Anolis sagrei: one gene and its partner. The protein of the gene in region 2 binds, or shares a complex with, the protein of the main gene of each other region. Links are inferred from orthologs where the notes say so. Each region holds a gene or a part of one and is shown on either strand. Other genes may lie near its edges.

Evidence for each region.
Region 1: the proteins of cathepsin K (region 2) and cystatin-like are in contact, whole or in part, in a crystal structure (PDB 8V57), measured with the Mus musculus proteins. The link is inferred for Anolis sagrei from reciprocal best matches to the Homo sapiens genes CTSK and CST3. Residues at the interface, in NP_031828.2 of Mus musculus: Asn132, Gln133, Gly134, Gln135, Cys136, Gly137, Cys139, Trp140, Glu173, Asn174, Tyr175, Cys177, Gly178, Gly179, Gly180, Tyr181, Met182, Ser248, Ala251, Ser252, Gln257, Phe258, Val274, Asn275, His276, Ala277, Ser297, Trp298, Ser301, Trp302; in NP_034106.2 of Mus musculus: Pro27, Arg28, Met29, Leu30, Gly31, Ala32, Pro33, Gln75, Leu76, Val77, Ala78, Val80, Asn81, Tyr122, Pro125, Trp126, Lys127, Thr133.

Annotation. Positions count from the first base shown.
Region 1 is NC_090024.1:140,461,120-140,464,868, forward strand, and holds the start of cystatin-like, read right to left. Parts: upstream 2,245-3,749; 5' UTR 2,178-2,244; coding exon 1,950-2,177; intron 1-1,949. UniProt on the Homo sapiens protein: As an inhibitor of cysteine proteinases, this protein is thought to serve an important physiological role as a local regulator of this enzyme activity.
Region 2 is NC_090032.1:4,990,808-4,994,556, forward strand, and holds the start of cathepsin K, read right to left. Parts: upstream 2,366-3,749; 5' UTR 2,185-2,365; intron 579-2,184; 5' UTR 569-578; coding exon 440-568; intron 1-439. UniProt on the Homo sapiens protein: Thiol protease involved in osteoclastic bone resorption and may participate partially in the disorder of bone remodeling. Displays potent endoprotease activity against fibrinogen at acid pH. May play an important role in extracellular matrix degradation.

The sequences.
Region 1 (3,749 bases), on a different chromosome or scaffold from region 2:
CTGATAATCTGGATTATATGGCAGCATAGAAAGTGTCTCTGTCAGAATCCCCATCTTTATTGACAATGTGTTTTTGGTGTGCAGATGATTACATAAGAAATCCCAGAACTACAATGCGGCCCAGATGGCCACTAAGGAGCATTAAGGGCATTCTTTCACACCTTTTTGTGGGAGCGTGTTAAGATGCATACAATGACCAGTGTAGCCTAAGAGGAAGTCAGTGATACATCTTATCACACAAACCCTAGGGCAGTATCATCATGAGTCAACTTAAAGGCATATTTCAACAACAAAGCAGAGGTTTGGGGACAAAACTTTCCCCTCAACATGCCTGCTAGAAAAAAATATGAGTGGAATTATTTCTGTATTCCCAGTTCCTATTAATGGAAGAAGAGCAAAGGGGAAGAGAGAAATATGGCAAACTCATAGAGAGTTCACAAAACATGGGTGACACAACTCATTGGCACTGGGCTTGTTTTAGTCTCCAGTTGCAAGGCTCTCATGTGGAAAAACTGGGGACCGGGGACCGGGGGGGGGGGGGGGGACTTAGTAATTATGACCTGGACCGGCAGGAAAGGATGTTTCCCAAGCTCTGTCTGATGAGATCCCTTGCAGAAGACATTTATATACACTGATATGTCTTTCCGTGTGTATCGAGGACCCTGAAAAGGCTGGAAAGAGCCCAGCCTACTGCAGATATTACATACTGACTACACTCAGCTCTTCATATCAATGGATCCTGCATCCATGGCTTGAAAATATATTTTTTTAAACAATACAAAAAGCAAACCTTGGTTTTGCCATTGTATATAAGGGACCATATTTGACTACCCATGTATATAATGAGAATGGAGCAAAACACAGATTTTGGTATCCAGGAGTGTCCTGGAATCAAACCCCAGCAGATAACAAAGGTTCACTGTAACTAAAGGTAAAGGTTCCCCCTTGACATTAAGTCTAGTTGTGTCCAACTCTGGGGGGTGGTGCTCATCTCAGTTTCTAAGCCTAAGAGCCGGCATTGTCTATAGTCACCTCCAAGGTCATGTGGCCAGCATGACTGCATGGAGCACCGTTACCTTCCCACCAAAGTGGTACCTATTGATCTACTCACATTTGCATATTTTTAAACTGCTAGGTTGGCAGAAGTTGGGCCTAACAGCAGGAGCTCATCCTTCTCCACTGATTTGAACCACCAACCTTTCAGTCAGCAAGTTGATGTAGATCCATCTTAATAGGACGACTGACCACTGTAGTTTTATATATAGTGTTTTTAAAGTTGTTTTTGTAATTGTGATATATGATATTTTAATGAGTGTATATGTTTTTATGGCTGGAAACCAGGCTGAGTCCCTCAATGAGGTTGAGAAGCTCGGTATAGAAAACTGTGAAATAAATAAATAAATAACTAAGTTCAGCAGCTTAACCTGCTGCACAACTGGGGGCAACCTGTGTTGTTATTTATTTTACTGTATTACAGCTGACTGAAAGATTGGTGGTTCGAATCCGGGAAGCAGGGTGAGCTCCTGCTGTTAGGCCCTGCTTTTGCCAACCTAACAGTGCAAGTGTGAGTAGATCAATAGGTACCGCTTCAGCAGGAAGGTAATGGCGCTCCATGCAGTCATGCCAGCCACATGACCTTGGAGATGTTTATGGACAACACCGGCTCTGAATAATAAAATCAAATTAGAGAGGTAATATAAAATATATTATATAATATATTAATATTATATAATAATATATTTAATAATAATAATAATATTTAATAATAAATACATAATATTATTTATATAAACAAAATAATTTTGCATAATATAATCATTTGTATTCTTAATATTTTGGTAATATAAATAAACAAGATCAAAAGCTGCATTGCCCCTACAATATAGGGGAGCCTTGGGCTCCCTCCAGCCTGGTGCTGAGGGCCAGAGCGGCCTGCTCGCTTTCCGTACCTGCTTGCTGACGCTGAGGACCTCGGCGACGCGGCTGCCGTACTGGTCGTTGCTGGCCCGGTTGTACTCGTTCATGGCGAAGCGGAGGGCCTGCTGCACGCCCTCGTCGTCGGCGGAGACCTGGATGGGCGCCCCCACCATCCGCTGCCCGGTCCGGGACTGCCCGGTGGCCAGCGCCACGCCGAGAGAGAGAACGAACCACAGATCGATCCACCCGAAGAGAGCCATCCTTGCGCGGCGAGAGGAGACCGACTGCGCCTGCCAGACCCCGGAGGGAAGCCCAAGTGCTGCTGCGGGTCCCGCCCAGGCAAGGGAAGGCGGAGCCCCGGCCCAGGCGCCCCGCCCCAGGCGAGCTGTGTTTTTCCAGGCGAGAGGCCGAGGAGGTTGTGGCTCTCTCTCAGGCCCTGGTGAGTCACTGGGCCACTTCCCCAGGGCAGGTTGACTGTGACTTGCAGCCTGGGCAGAGATGGGCTCCTCTATCTTCCAGCTGGCTGAGGAACTGTAGACCAATCTCCCTGTTTTGTCACCTCTACAAAGTTCTGGAGAGACTTATTTTGCATAGAATTATGGAAAAAAAATAGACCCATGTCTGATCCCACAGCAAGCTGGCTTCAGGAAAGGCGAAAGCTGCACATCGCAAGTGCTGAACCTGACTCAGCACATAGCAGATGGCTTCGAAAGACAGCAGATCACAGGAGCTGTCTTCATAGACTTGTCAGCAGCTTATGATACTGTGAACCACCGCCTCCTCCTGAGAAAAATGTATAATATCACAAAGGACTACCACCTCACCTGCCTCATAGGAAACTTGCTACAAAGCAGGAGCTTTTTTGTTGAGTTCCAGAACCAGAGAAGTAAATGACGAAAACAGAAGAACGGCCTGCTTCAGGGGAGTGTGCTTGCTCCATCCATGTTCAACATCTACACAAATGACCAGCCACTGCCAGAAGGGACAGAAAGTTTCATCTATGTAGATGATCATGCCATTACTGCTCAAGCAGGGAGCTTTCAGATGGTAGAACAGAAGCTCTCCGAAGCTCTAGGTGCCCTTACCGCCTACTACAGCAAAACCAGCTGATCCCTAATCCATCGGCCCTGTTTACCTCTCCGAACGTATTCTCCCCTATGAACCATCAAGATCATTAAGATCGTCTGGAGAGGCCCTGCTCTCGGTCCCACCGGCCTCGCAAGCACATCTGGTGGGGACGAGGGACAGGGCCTTCTCGGTGGTGGCCCCACGACCCTGGAACTCTCTCCCACTGGAGATCAGAACCGCCCCTTCTATCCTGACATTCAGGAAACAGGTAAAGACGTGGTTATGGAGGCAGGCATTCGATGAGTGAGCCAACACCCTGAGATATGGATGGCAGATGATGTATAATCGATTTTAGTATGACGACTGACCATTGTAGTTATTGAATATATTTGCTGTTTTAATGTGTTATTGTAATATGAATTATGTTGTTTTACTGACTGTATGTGATTTTATGGTTGGAAACCGGTCTGAGTCCCTCAAAAGAGGTGAGAAGGTCAGTATACAAAACTTTTAAATAAATAAATAAATCTAAAATACAGATATGCACCTTTCACCTTAAGAACAGACAAGCATCCCAAGCTCTGAGGATTACCTGGGAAGGAATCCCAGCATTGCAGCACACCCAAATACCTGGGAGTCACCCTTGTCCGTGCTCTGACCTACAAGAAGTGCTGCCTGAATATCAAGCAAAAAGTGGGTGCTAGAAACAATATCATATGAAAGCTGACTGGCACAACCTGGGGATCACAACCAGACACAGTGAA
Region 2 (3,749 bases):
TGTGTTACCGTCCTGTGGGAGGCTTCTCTCATGTCCTCGCATGGGAAGCTGGAGCTGACAAATGGGAGCTCACCCCATCTTGTAGATCTGAACTGCCAACATTCAGGTTAGCAGTTCAGCCGGCACAACATTGCGCCACCATGGCTGCTTCTAATCTCTGAATGAATCAAGTATTTTTTGAACTCAGATTTGCAGCAATGGAAGTGAGCTGAGAACCAATGAGGGAGGAAAAGGAACCTGGACATTTTAATAGTTGGAACGGCAGAGGATTAATATCAACTCCCACAATTCCTAAATGATAATAATAAAAATCTTTGCTGGTGGGAGGAGATTAAGTCAGCCACCCTTCCCGACCCTATAAGGAAATGGCAGGATTTGAACCCGTGCCCTCCTGTCACCCCGTTCTTTGCCTCTGGGTCTAAAATGCTCTTGTGGTCACCTGGCCATTGTAGTCCTTCCGGTGGCTTTTCTTCCAGAGCTGCCACTGAGAGTCCAGCGTCTCGTCTGGGTAGCCGGTGGCCATGGTGGCCGGAAAGAGGGCGGCCAGTGCCAAGGGTGCCCACCACATCCTGGAAAAGCTGCAAAGAGGAAGGAAGGAAGGAAGGAAGGAAGGAAGGAAGGAAGGAAGGAAGGAAGGAAGGAAGGAAGGAAGGAAGGAAGGAAAGAGGAATAGGAGAGAGAGAGGGTGGAGAAAGGAAAGAAAGAAAGAGGAAGGATGGAGGGGGTTAGAAAAAGGAAGGAAATAGGAAGGAAGGAAGGAAGGAAGGAAGGAAGGAAGGAAGGAAGGAAGGAAGGTGAAAAATAGGAAAGAGGGAGGGAGGAGGGGAAGGAAGGAAGGGATTAGAAATAGGAAGGAAGGAAGGAAGGAAGGAAGGAAGGAAGGAAGGAAGGAAGGAAGGAAGGTGAAATAGGAAGGAAGGGGGAAAAGGAGAGAGAGATGGAGAAACAAAGGAAAGAGAGAGGAAAGAAGGAAGAAAGAAGAAATAGGAAGGATAGAGAAATAGGATGGAAGGAGGGAGGGATGGAGGAAGAAGGAAGAAAAGAAGGGAGGGAAGAGAAATAGGAAGGAAGGAGAAAAAGAAAAGAGAGATGGAGGAATGAAGGAAAGAGAGAGGAAAGAAGGAAGGAAGGAGAAATAGGAGGGAAAGAGGGAGGGATGGAGGAAGGAAGGAAGGAAGGAAGGAAGGAAGGGATGAGAAAAAGGAAGGAAGGAAGGTGAAATAAGGAGAAATGGGAGAGAGGGTTGGAGGAAGGAAGGAAAGAGAGAGGAAAGAAGAAAGGAAGGAGTTAAAAATAGGAAGGAAGGTGAAATAGGAGAGAGGGATGAAGGAACGAAGGAAAGAGAGAGGAAGGAAGGAAGGAAGGAAGGAAGGAAGGAAGGAAAGAGAGAGGAAAGAAGAATGGAAGGAAGGAAGGAGTTAAAAATAGGAAGGAAGGTGAAATAGGAGAGAGGGATGAAGGAACGAAGGAAAGAGAGAGGAAGGAAGGAAGGAAGGAAGGAAGGAAAGAGAGAGGAAAGAAGAATGGAAGGAAGGAAGGAGTTAAAAATAGGAAGGAAGGTGAAATAGGAGAGAGGGATGAAGGAACGAAGGAAAGAGAGAGGAAGGAAGGAAGGAAGGAAAGAAGGAAGGAGAAATAGGAGGGAAGAAGGGAGGGATGGAGGAAGGAAGAAAGGAACAAAGGAAGGAAGGAAGGGAAGAGAAGAAGGAAGGAAGGAAGGAAGGAAGGAAGGAAGGAAGGAAGGAAGGAAGGTGAAATAGGAAGGAAGGAAGGTGAAATAGGAAGGGAGGAGAAATAGAGAGATGGATGGAGGAAGGAAGGAAGGAAGGAAGGAAGGAAGGAGAGAGGAAAGAAGGAAGGAAGGAGTGAAAAATAGGAGGGACAAAGGGAGGAGGGAAAGGGAGGAAAGGGTGAGAAAAAGGGACAAATGCAGTTATCACATGTTGATTATACTATAGAGTTATCACTTGAACGGCCACTTCTGGGATGTCTAGTTTGATGGAGGGACGTAGACGCTACAATTCCCAGGGGAGAATGTCTATGGAGCTGGAAAGGAAAGGAAGGAAATGGGGAGGAGAGGAAGAGGGGCAAAGGGGTGCAGTTTGACTCCACTTGGGACTGCGTTGGGCTCGAGAAGGCTAAAGACCTGGCCAAACTACAACTCCCGGGATGGTCCTTACTCACCTCTGTGGGTTCTGCTGCTGGATCTGGTCTTCTTGCAAGGAGGGAACCCGAACAGGAGGGATCTTGGCAGCCTTTGGGTTTTTATGCAGGTTTTGGGGAAGTCTGGCCTGCAAATGGAAAAAATGCCCAGTTTGTCTCCGGCAAGCTTTACTCAGATTTCTCGAAGGCGAAGAGGAGGAAGAGGAGGGGAAAGAGGAGGGGAAGGCCTCTCACATGATCCTCTTGGCAAAGGATCACATCTGGATCTCAAAGGAAGCGGGGAAACATCTGGAGGCTTGCCGCTGAGATTCAGCCGTTTGTGCATTTTTGCAGGCCTTCAGATTCACAATTTGGAAAGGTGTGTCTACACTGTACGATTAATGCAATTTGGCACCACTTTAACAGCGATGGAAATCCTGGGATTTGTAGTCCGGCACCAAACTCTCTTTGGCAAAGGAGGCCTTGCAAAATGGCAACTCCCAAAAGTCCATAGCATTGAGCACTTGCAGTCCAAGTGGTATCGAACTGTGTTAATTCAACAGTGGAGACGCAATCATAGTTCCCCATCGTGGTCCCTGTGAATTGCACAGGGAATTTGCCACCAAATTGGCATCAGAATGAGGAACCTCAAAAATCCCCGTCATCTCTTACTCTAAGTATGGTATATACATGTATGTGTGTGCGTGTGTGCATGTGTGTATAAAAGGTAAAGGCTTTCCCCTGAGATTAAGTCCAGTCATGCCCGGATCTGGGGGTTGGTGCTCATATCTAAGCTGAAGAGCCGTCGTTGTCCATAGACGCCTCCTAGGTCATGTGGCCAGCATGACTGCATGGTGCGTCCTTACCTTCCCGATGGAGTGATATCTATTGATCTACTCACATTTGCATGTTTCCAAACTGCTGGGGCTAACAGCAGGAGCTCACCCAGCTCCCCGGATTTGAACCGGTGACCTTTTGATCAAGTTCAACAGCTCAGCGGTTTAACCCACTGCACCACTGTGTGTGTATATATATATATGTGTGTGTGTGTGTGTGTATAAAACCACATACACACACACACACACATGTATATGTATGTGTTCTTGTGGAAACAAGAACAGGAGAAGAGATGAGTCCACCTTGATTCACCCTCCATGTATATGTATATATGTGTGTATATGTGTGTATGGTCCATGGTAACAAAAACAGAAGAGATGAGTCCACCTTAATTCACCCTCCATGTATATGTGTATGTATACTGTATGTGTGTGTGTGTGTGTGTGTGGTCCATGGTAACAAAAAAGAAGAGATGAGTCCACCTTGATTCACCCTCCATGTATATGTTTGTGTATACTGTATATTTGTGTGTATATATATATGTGTATGTATATTTATATACATACATACATATGTATGTGTGTGTATTTATGTATATATATGTATATGTGTGTGTGTGTATAGTCCATGGTAACAAGAACAGGAGAAGGGATGTGTCCACCTTGATTCACCCTCCATGTATATGTATGTGTGTACTGTATATGTATGTATGTGTGTGTGTGTATGTATGTGTGTGTGTATATACATGTGTGTGTGTGTGTGTGTGTGTG